3 linked regions of the Rattus norvegicus genome follow. The protein of the gene in region 1 purifies or fractionates together with the protein of each later gene. This does not show direct contact. Links are inferred from orthologs where the notes say so. Each region holds a gene or a part of one and is shown on either strand. Other genes may lie near its edges. The genes, in order: Rrs1, Npm1 and Nifk.

What was found.
Region 2: the proteins of Rrs1 (region 1) and Npm1 purify together in Homo sapiens (affinity purification with mass spectrometry; 3 studies listed by BioGRID and IntAct, counting the BioPlex papers as one, with this or other methods). This does not show direct contact. The link is inferred for Rattus norvegicus from reciprocal best matches to the Homo sapiens genes RRS1 and NPM1.
Region 3: the proteins of Rrs1 (region 1) and Nifk purify together in Homo sapiens (affinity purification with mass spectrometry; 3 studies listed by BioGRID and IntAct, counting the BioPlex papers as one, with this or other methods). This does not show direct contact. The link is inferred for Rattus norvegicus from reciprocal best matches to the Homo sapiens genes RRS1 and NIFK.

The regions. Positions count from the first base shown.
Region 1 is NC_086023.1:14,515,785-14,519,534, forward strand, and holds Rrs1 (ribosome biogenesis regulatory protein homolog), read right to left. Parts: upstream 2,153-3,750; 5' UTR 2,064-2,152; coding exon 966-2,063; 3' UTR 519-965; downstream 1-518. UniProt on the Homo sapiens protein: Involved in ribosomal large subunit assembly. May regulate the localization of the 5S RNP/5S ribonucleoprotein particle to the nucleolus.
Region 2 is NC_086028.1:18,249,149-18,252,798, forward strand, and holds part of Npm1 (nucleophosmin), read right to left. Parts: intron 3,601-3,650; coding exon 3,539-3,600; intron 865-3,538; coding exon 807-864; intron 497-806; coding exon 413-496; intron 1-412. UniProt on the Homo sapiens protein: Involved in diverse cellular processes such as ribosome biogenesis, centrosome duplication, protein chaperoning, histone assembly, cell proliferation, and regulation of tumor suppressors p53/TP53 and ARF.
Region 3 is NC_086031.1:31,945,131-31,948,880, reverse strand, and holds the start of Nifk (MKI67 FHA domain-interacting nucleolar phosphoprotein), read right to left. Parts: upstream 2,736-3,750; 5' UTR 2,704-2,735; coding exon 2,599-2,703; intron 1,040-2,598; coding exon of another isoform or gene 1,037-1,039; coding exon 902-1,036; intron 1-901.

The sequences.
Region 1 (3,750 bases):
TTGCATTTTCCTAAAAGTAACTCCGCCCTGACAGACCAACTTGGTTAACAGAAAACACCCCTCCCTCACTCAATTCTAGATTTCCAATTCATAATTTACAAAAATAATGCAAGTATTCAAGTATTAATACTTATGCAAAGATAAGTTTATTAAGATTAAAAAAATAACATCCAGGACAGAAATAACCATGGAATCTGCTGGGTGTAGCCTCTCCTTTATAATCTCAGCACTTGGCCTGAGTGAGTTCCAGGCAGCCTTGGCTCCATAGAGAATTCCAGCCTAGCATTTGCTAAAAACTAAAACCCAAGCCAATTAAACAAAAGCCATCAGCTACAAACAAAATGACAACCATTTTCTGGAGTAACAAGGTTAATTACCATCATTTAGTGTGGTTCCAAATTATTGGCCAAATGCACCACCTGAACCAACATCAAGAAGCACCATACTTTAATTATAGTTAGTGCCAAAAGAATGTTTGAGTTTTCCTAATACCAGGGGTCATTTATAACCATTTTAACTTTTTTTTTTTTTTTTTTGCAAGCACACACGTATTGGTACCCATGTCACTGGCTTCACATATAACTTCTACCGGCAAACTTGTAAATTTCCCCCTTCTTCCTGCTTTGATAAATATACAAGCTTTATTACCAAAATAATGCAAAAATGCTGAAACCAGTCTACTATAACCTAGAAATTTGATCAACCTTTACCCAGCATCCAAAGTCAAGATAAAAAGGCAGGCATTAACTTATTCCTGGTTCTGACCACAGTATTTCTGTAATTCTCATAATCTCAAAACACACCAACCAGTCAGTGTCTCCATTAATTCGTAGTCCAGCACTGACTCGAGGGGAGGCAAACCTGCCCGTTCAATGTCAAGCTCATTGAGGACAGCGGCCACCTCCTGAACCAGCCTACAGCAAGTACGGTTCTAGCTTTTCAGAAGAGGTCCAGAGGGGAGAGCACTACTTTCTCCTCTTCCCTCCATGGTGCGGCACTCCTTTCTTCTTGCCACCTAAGGCAGGTGGCCTGGAATGCTTCTTGCCTCCCAAGACTCCTTTCCTTTTCTCTCCCTGACTCGGTGGACCGCCCTTTCTCCTGCCCGAAGGTCCTTGCCGGCCCCCTTTTTTCTTGCCTTTCTGGCTCATTTTCCTCCTCTTGGCAGCCTCCTCTTGGTCCTCTTCCCTCATCTGCTTGTTGGTGGCCCTCGTCACGTCCAGCTGAGGTTTCTTGCTGTTCATGACTCGAAGTAGCTCCAGTTGGTTTTTTTTCTCGGCTGCAAAGTCCCCAAAGAGGGGCTGAAACTTCCTCTTCTTGCCGGAGCCCCGGGGCGCTTTCTCCTTGGGGAGGCGCTCCTGGAAGCGTCCCACAGAAGCGGTGGAGACCTTGGCCACTTGCATGGCGCGGCCCAGCTCCTCCTTACTCTGGTGTCCCGTAGGGTGCAGGCCGGCTGAGCTGGGCATCTGCATCTTGTGCGCGCGGGCCAGGTTCCGCAGTCGGTTCAGCTCGTTCTTGGCCACGCGTTCTTTCTTAGCCCGAATCCTCTTGGCGAACTGGTCTTCCATGGGGTCTGCGCTCCCAGGCACCTCGATCAGCCACTCCTTAGTGTCATCTCGGGCACGTTTGTAGCCCCAACGGCGTCGCCACTGGCCACTCACCTCGTCCCACACGAGGTTGGTCTTCTTCTTGGGACGGATGCCCTTAAGGCGCGCGAACTGCTGCCAGCGGGTGAGCGGTCGTGGCCGGGGCAGCGGCTTCTCGCGGGGCAGGCGTGTGGCGGGCTCAGGCAAGCGCGCTACCACCGCCTCCTCCACGCGCTCGGTTGGCAGCTGCCATAGTTGGTTGACAAGAAGCTGCGTGTTGTCCCGCGCCAGGGCCCGCAGCTCGGCCTCCGGCGAGGGTCCGGCCTGGCGCAGCACCGTCGGGGGGTTGCGGTCCGAAGCCAGCAGGTTGCCCAGGTCGAACTCCAGCTCCAGCTCCTTGTGCACCGTGATGCGCTGCAGCTTCTCCGCCTCCTCCTGCTTCGCTTTGGCCAGCAGCTCCTCCACACTCTGCCCCTCCATGGCTCTCGCCGGCTCCGTTCCCTCACTTTGGGGCTGCAGCGGAATGCTTTGCTACTATGGCAGAGCCCAAAAACCAGCCACCACGTGCGGACGTCCGGACTCGTAATCCGGAAGAGAAAAGCTCACTTCCGGGAACCTGCTCTCAACTGGGCGGTGAGGGAAGGACCGGCAGAGGGCGGCATTGGAGAGCAGATGGGCTTAGAGGCGGGACTTGGACTCGTAACCGGATGTTGGCTAGACTGGCGCTGAAGGTTGGCTGAATGAAGACTAACAAGCGCAAGGCCTGGTTGGGACTACGTTTCCCAGCATGCCGCGGGGTAGGGGCGGTCGCTGTAGGAAGCGGGCTGCTCAAACTCTTGGAACTGCAGGCGGGCGTTGTAGTTTCCAGATGGAGTTTACACAACAGTACTTGAGGGTAAATCTATTACAGAAGTGTATGGACGACACAAATTATTTCCCCAGAGTTATATAGTCCGTTTTCTGTACTCTAGGTGTGAGCGGAGAGAGATCCCACACAGATCCACAGGAATAGAAAATTGGGCAGGGCGCAGGGCGCAGGGCACAGGGCACAGGGCAGGGGGCAAGGCAGGGGGCAGGGGCAGGGCAGGGAGCAGGGAAGGGGGCAGGACAGGGCAGAGGGCAGGGCAGGGTAGGGGGCAGGGCGCAGGGGGCAGGGCAGGTGGCAGGGGGCAGGGCACTGCAGCCCCAGCCCTCGGCCAGCCCTCGGCCAGCCCTCGGCCAGCCCTCGGCCAGCCCTCGGCCAGCCCTCGGCCAGCCCTCGGCCAGCCCTCGGCCAGCCCTCGCCCAGCCCTCGCCCAGCCCTCGCCCAGCCCTCGCCCAGCCCTCGCCCAGCCCTCGCCCAGCCCTCGCCCAGCCCTCGCCCAGCCCACTACACATGGTTACTTTGATCAGTGCAACCAGTACTTAAAGGGATTTCATCAGTCTTTAAAAATCACATTAACTTAGATTTACTTTTTAAAACATGAAACTAAATAACTTATTTGTCGTGCTGTCACACATATATGGCGGTCAGAGGAGAAATTTCTTAAAGTTCTGCGAATTGAACTGAGGTTGTCAGGATTGGGAGCAAATGCTGAGCAAATGTCAGGATTGGGAGCAAATGGGAGCAAGCAAGTGAGCCTCCTTCTTGGCCCTTGCTTTCTCAATGGTGCTCAATTTCATCTCCTTCTGGGAATTATGGTAGGAATTATTAAGGATGATTCAGCCACATTTTAGATCTGCAGTTAACATTTTATTTTCACTCTCAATATTTTTGTTCAAGAAATCCAGAACACCAGTTAATTTGATAAAATATTAGCTAGGGGCACTTAAACCACTTAACTCACCTTCACATGGTTCAATTTTACTGATTCGTGATTTTCTGTTGAAAGTATTTCAATGAGGAGTTTTTAACACATTTCACACAAATGCATAAGGGGTGTGTGTGTGTGTGTGTGTGTGTGTGTAAGCCACAGGACAGTGGTTCTCAACCTTCCTGATGACCTTTGAATACATTTTCTGATGTTCTGGTAACCCTCGACCATAAAATGATTTTTATTGGTACTGTTAAGGTTTGGGTAACTGCTGCCTGTCTAAGCAGGCATTTTATGCTATTATTATTGTTACAAAGAACCTTTCTCATGTGCTATTACTATTGTTACTAGGAAACTTTCTCATGTCTGAGTTG
Region 2 (3,650 bases), on another chromosome or scaffold:
CAGTGTACTCATATTTAAAAAAGGGGTTGGGAGAGATGCTTCAAAGTTAGGATAGGATAAAATCAAACTTGATAGGCCAACTCCTATAATAATAACTCCTGACAATTATTTGACCTCTACAAGTATACACCTAGATCATGAAAGTTATACACACACAACACAGCTCAGAATTCAACTGGTGTACAAAATAAAGTCAACTACAGATGCCATGTAGTCCATCCCAGTACATGACACACTTCACAAATTTATGTATCGTGATATTTTAATGTACACTACAATCTCAATCTACTATGTACACAGGGTTAATTAAGTACCACAAACACCAAGTTTTAGGCAGACAAGGTTCTTAACATGGGATTTGCTACTTTCCCTAAATAGATAAATGACATCCATTGTTAACTTGGGTACTTACCTTTGACCTTGGTGTTGATGGTTTTAAATCTTTCCCATTTTGGTTTGATTTTTGTGCATTTTTGGCTGGGGTATCTCGTACAGACTGCAATTAGAAAATGATCTTAAATCACTAAATGCCCTCTCCAGTAGAGATCAACTCAGATTAAACTGCCCTAAACCTAAGTAATCAACAAGTTGTAGCTCATATAAAAAGATAAAGTTCTCAAATTTTCTTGTCTAACTCAGAACCAATTTTTTTTTCTTTCCTTTTTTTCGGAGCTGGGGACCGAACCCAGGGCCTTGCACTCTACCACTGAGCTAAATCCCCAACCCTCAGAACCAATTTTTAAGTTAACAACTAAGCCAGCTTTTACTAATAGGACTAAGAAATTTCCATTATCTTATGTACTCACTTTCTTCACTGGAACCTTTTCTTCAGTTTCCTCTTCATCAAAATCATCATCATCATCACTACAAATGAAATATGCCAAGACACTTAGAACTAAGCCATATTGACGCACTGTAGCAAGTTAGTAGCACCAGTACTTGAATAGATTTATGTTAAGAACCTAACAATATTTACTTGAAACTATTGTTTCAGAGGGTTGTGAAATGCAGTTGTTTAATTTCAGTGTTAGCAAATATCTCCAATCAAACCAGTTGTACCAAACTGTAAAGAATCTAGGCTTTTTAAAATTAACTTTTAGCCAGGTGGTGGTTACTTATCTTTAGTGCCACTTTTAGTGGACAGCCAGGGCTAGATTAATCCTCCTTCTGCAGGGTGGGGATTTAACTTTTACATGATCCCTACTAGAGCAAAGATGCTTGTCTAACTGAATCTAAACAGACCATGTCTCCCCAATAATAAATATAATATGTAAGACTATTTTAGTCACTAGGGAGTATAAACCAAAAACAAGACACTGCTTCATACATTACTCAAGACGCAAACTTAGGAAGAACTCTCATGTGGTAATAATAACCCCAAATACCCACAGCAATAGCACATGCACATGTTTTTAGCCATTAAAAAACTAAGCATTGGGATCTATGCCAGACATAAATGGGGCTGATGAACTATTGTACATACAGTAATAAAGTAAAAAATTGACCAAAAAAATTCTACATCTTCTGATTGTACCAGTGCCCTGTTTCTCCTATCAAAGCTCTTCTGCTTATACTTCATTCCGATGTGTATGTGCAGTGTTTGGCAAGGCTTATTAATTATTGGCTCTCCCTAAAGACGTATTAAGCTGTCAGATTGTAATTAACAATCCACCTCCAACTACTTCAGTGTTACTTAACATCTCAAAAAAAGATGCTGCTGCTTCTCACTTTCAATCTAGATCTGAGATTTTGATTTAAAGCCACATGGCACTTACTAAGAGGAAGTACAAAATGTTCACAAAATATTGTGATTTTTAGAAGGGGGTGAATCAGTGTGGTCACTGAAACATCCTATTATTATAAGTAAAGTCTACTCTGAAAGCAAGGTCACTATTTTTCAATCTAGTGTTAATGAAGTTAAAAGCATGAATTTCTGCTAAGTTACCTTTTCAGTAGTGGGATTGTCTTGTTAGAATTATGTCAAAGCCACCTGTAAATCCAGTGGTTTTGGTTATTTTTTTTTCGGAGCTGGGGACCGAACCCAGGGCCTTGCGCTTCCTAGGTAAGCGTTCTACCACTGAGCTAAATCCCCAGCCCCGGTTTTGGTTATTTTTAACACTATTGGTCAGTATAAAACTGGCCTTACAGAGCAGGAGAGCTCACTGGTTAAGAGCACTGACTGCTCTGCTCTTACAGAGGTCCTGAGTTCAATTCCCAGCAACCACATGGCGGCTCATAACCCTGTATGTAATGGGATCTGATCCCCTCCTTCTGGTCTATCTGAAGATTGCTACAGTATATTCATACAAATAAATCTTTTAAAAAAGACAGTTTATTCAACATGTGAGTTAAAAATTACTAGCCTTACAACCCAACCCATGGAGGTGCTTTCTGTTACCACAATCAATGTCAATTTCTATAAAAAGCTTTTTGCATCATAATCAATGCATTATCATTCATCCAGCACCTAAAATTGATTCAAGAAAAGCTGTATCAGGGGTTTCAGGGGTTGGGGATTTAGTTCAGTGGTAGAGTGCTTGCCTAACAAGCACAAAGCCCTGGGTTCAGTCCTCAGCTCAAAAAAAAAAAAAAGGCCATATCACCACGCAATACCATCTTATGGAGAACACATATATATAGATTCATTGCCTAGTTTCTAACAGCATCCCATAAAGGGAATCTTGATTTTCCTTAAATGGCAATAGTCAAAATCTTTGCATAAATGCCATTTTTGTAGTATAGCCCATTCATATATATATACGAATGTGGATTTTTTGCTGCTCCCCAAACTTATTGTTAAACCATACAAGAAAATGTAAGCCAATCTTGAAATCAGAAACATTGAGTATCTGATTCAGGATTTGAATTCATAGGCAGAACTTTTTATATAATATATACACAAAGCACATATCAGTGTTTAAAGCCTCTCTGGATTCTGAGGACATTTTTATTCTAGAACTTCTAGCAATATGGTTTAACTCTCCAACTTAACTATGTAAACCTTCAGTCTATTACTTCACCCTCACTGGTATCTATGAACTATTACTGCTCCAGTGGAAACTACTAAACTTAACCTCAAGATTTGTCCCTTATTGACTACTATGAATAAATGTAACCAATAAATACATCAAGACCAATTTTGCTTTGAACAGTTACCTTAAGTTCAGTATATATTGTCAATATACTTGACCAATTCCAGAACTTCTCAAGATCTCAAGGTAACAAATTATCATGTGAGACTCAAAGTAGGAATTCCATACTTCCCATCTAGCTGTTTACTGACTTATATTGAACACATGAAATCTTACTTCTAAACTGTATCTCCCAAGAAAAACCCATTTCCCATTGAATAGCTTCTCAGTAAGGAAAACAAGAAATCATAATGCGAAATCCTTTATTGTTACAAAAACCTTTACTTCCTTCCAAACATCAACCACTGATTACTTTTACAGAACCCACTGGCAAATCAGTCCTCCTAAAACCTTTACAAGTACATGTACTATCAAATTTCTGAGATCATATTACTCATACTACTTACTCTTCATCATCCTCATCATCTTCATCATCCTCATCATCATCTTCATCAAGTTTTACTTTTTTCTGAAAGAAAAATATGTTATTTATGAGCAACAGAAGAAATCCTTGGTGAT
Region 3 (3,750 bases), on another chromosome or scaffold:
CTCCTCAGGAAATGGAAGACTCAGACAAAACAACACCTTGTTTCCAAGGAGGGAGGTAGAGACAGGTGGGGCAGCACAAGTCTCCCAAGGGAAAGGATTGTTCAGAGAACTAGGAAAGGCAACCAGCAGAAACCCCAAGAGTTGGAAATTCTCTTCCAGGGAGGAACCAGTGGGCAACAGGCCTTAAGAAGCTGGTGTGGTACCACAGACAAATCCCACCGCATGATTTAAGCCCCAGTAAAAGCAAATTCACAAAAAACAAAACAAAAAAAAACCCACCAAAAACCAAAACCAAAAAACTGACCTGCCACTTCTGTTTTGGCTAAACTGGCTGGGAGCAAGTTCTACAATCCAGGCTCCAGCTCCCAGTACTGGGCTCACTTGGCCTTTCAGTTGGTGCTTGAGGAAAAGGTGCGTGTGTGTGTGTTCTACTTCCTGTTTAGAGCGCGAGTGCTCTTACCATTGGGCCATTTCCCCAGGTCTCAGTCACCCTGTCACTGGGCTGGAGCTGGGCTGAGCTGGCTAGTCAGTGCGCCCCAGGAACCCCATTCCCACTTTCCTAGCACTGGGATTACACATGTATGTGACCATATCTGGCTTTTGACCTGGGTTCTGTAGATGGACAGTTACAAACTGGGCTATCTCCACAGCCTCATTATTTTTCTCTCTTTATTGAGATAGAAATCCACATTATGTAGCTGTGACTGGCTTCAAACTCAGTGGTCTACCTATCTGTCTCCCAAGTGCCGGGACGAACGGTATGAGCCACCATGCTGCTTCGCTTGTGAAGAGTTCCCAAGTAGGAACTTTGTAGGTAACAAAGTTTTGCCTATGAATACAAAGGAGGCCGTACAATTGACAAGCAAAATAAACATAGTTGAATTCAGGTACAGAATCTTACCCGCTTACTTCTGGACAATCTGAATCTTCTAATATCGCCAAACTGGGCACAGTAGTCATAGATGTGGCTTTCAGAGAGCGTTGAAGGTAGGTGCCCCAGATAAACTACTCCAGAGTTAAGTTTTTCTTCCTTCTTCTGCTGAGGACAAAACAGATAAACATTTTAAAAAATTCACACTGCACCAAAACATTGTATATACACATTTTTTTCTGACCTGGGTCTCATTATGGAGCCTTGGCTGGCCTGAAACTCACTATGTAGACCAGGCTGGCCTCTAATTCATGAATACTAAGAGTAAAGGCATTACTATGCTCTCTGCAAAGGACTTTATTTTTCAACAAAGGTATGTTACCATTCCTTAACTTCAGAAAAATTTAATTCTAAAGTCTTTTTTCCCTTTTTTGAGACAGGGTTTCTTTGTGTAGCCCTAGTTGTCCTGGAGTTAGCTTTGTAGACCAGGCCAGACTCAAACTCACACAGACCCACCTGCTTCTGCCTCCTGAGTGCTGGAGTAAAGGTGTGTGCCACCACCCCCCAGCTTTCTAAAGTCCTTTCAGAGGATAGGTAGAGCTTTGCCTGCCTCTGTCTCTCCAGCACTGGACTGAAGGTAAATGTAACCTTACCTGGCCTGCAACAAAATTTTCAACACCCTTCATTCCTCTTGGTCCGGGAACATTTCTCTATCACAGCAGAAACTGAAAAACTAGGTGTCTGTATCTCTTTTCTTAAGCACCGCTGTGCAAACCTGAGGCTTGAGTTCAATCACACAGAGCCACAGACTCTGCAGAGACAGACTTATGTGTGCCGTGGTGTGCATGCACACCCACCTGTCCCTACAAAGCAGTCGGCACATGTGTTCCTTAATGGACAATCAAGTGAAAGTCTGTCATTGTCACTCCGAATCCAAGACCTTCAACTCTGAACTCAGATGGCAGCTTATTACATCGAATCATTTCCGATTAACCTTCACAGTGAAGACTATACTTCTGTCACCACCTTAGAGAACAAGAACTTGTTTCCCATCAGGTAGGGTACTGGGTGACCTATAGTGACCTACACCTGTAATCCCAGTGGATATATGGTTCAAGGACTAGACTGCACGGCAAATGTGATGCAATTTTGTGCTACAAAAACTCTACAAAGACACTGTAACAAAAACAACCCGCACAAAAGACACCCCCGCCAGGACAACAGCAAAACAAGAAAGAAAATCTTCCTTTCTCTCCAGTGCACCTCATGCTGAAAACCAAAGGGGATATAAACTTCCTTTCGGGGCAGTCTGGGAACAGAGCTTGGCAGGCTGTAATCCCTATTTTCTTTGGCGAAGCTCTGGTCTGAATACTGAGCCCGAGCTGTTTTCTGACTCTCGATCCTCCTGCTTCCCCGCTCGTCCAAGGACCTGGATTTGTCTGTTCCGTCTACTAAGCACTACAACGTAAGGGGACATACATACCTTCCAAATGCTGTGGTTCATTCTGAACCCCCATTTTGCGGGCCAAAGCGGAAATGTGACAGCTTTAACATATTTTGGGAATTGGAGGTGCCATGCTCCCCACACGTGGTACACCTCCTTTTTCACGTGAGCCCTGAGGGCCTAAAGGGTCAAACCTCACACCGATTCCCTGCCTGCCTCAGTCTCCAGAGCCCGTGAGAGGTGGGCTCCCGAGTCAGCGCGGCCAGAGAGCCCCGCCGCTCACCTTTTTCGCGCGCCGTTGTATTTGCGTCAGATCCTTCTCAAACTGCGAGTCCTCCCGCGGGTTCAACGCCAGAGTCGGCTTCGCAGGGCCTGAATACTCGGCCATACTGGAGAAGCACGAACAAGTTAATCCACGCGGAACCTCCGGAAGTGACGTTCTTTTCACTACTCGGAAGCGGAAGCAGAGGCGGGAGTGTAGCAAGAAGAGCAAGCCCTGGTGTTTGGAATTGGACGACCTCGAGCGCCACCTATTGACCACAATCTAAAAGACTTTCTAAGACGGATTAAAAATTATTCGGAGGCTAATGTTGGTGAAGTGCTTGCCCAGCTCTGCATAAACCATGACTGGAGCCCCACGCCTGTAATCCTAGAATTTGGGAGGTGGAGGCAGGAGGATCAGGAGTTCAAAGCGGTTCTCATATGCATAGTTCGACCACGGCCTGGGCTCCATGGACTCAAAACAAATTTACAAGTCCCAAACATTATCCATGTCTGTTGGCTAGTCAGGCCTACAAGCAATAGGGAAAGTCTTCCTGCCATGGACTCCTTTTGTAAACTTTGTAAACACTCAAGCAGGAAAGTGGTCAGGCCCCTGCCTGAGGAGCTTCAATGGCCAGCCTCCCCAAATCTCCACATGTCCCCCTCTTTCCCTAACATCCCTAACGATTTCTAACCGCCCAGAAGTGGGAGAGTGACCAGACTCTGGCATACAAGAAAAAAGTTCCACCAGTCCCTGAGTTCCCTCAGGTTCAGGACTTGAAATTCCACCAGTCCTCACCATGGAAATCTCCACAACATAGTGCAACATATATTTGTATTTTTGATATTATACATGTGTCTTTATGTGTTCAGGAATTCAGGTGACCATAGAGAATAATGGTGTGGGATCTCCTGAACCTGGAATTACAGGCTGTTGTGAGATGCCCAGTGTACTGGGAACTGAACTCAAGTCCTCTGGAATAGTAGAAAATATTTTTAACTGTGAACTACTTGTTCAGTCCCTATTTATTTTATTTTTATGTGATAAGTGTTTTGCCTGTCTGTATGTGTACCCTATATGTGTAATGTGTGTGCCGAGGACAGAAGAGGGTATCAGAACATGGACTTAAGGACTGTGAGCCAGGGTCCTTTGGCTCTTAACCACAGAGCCATC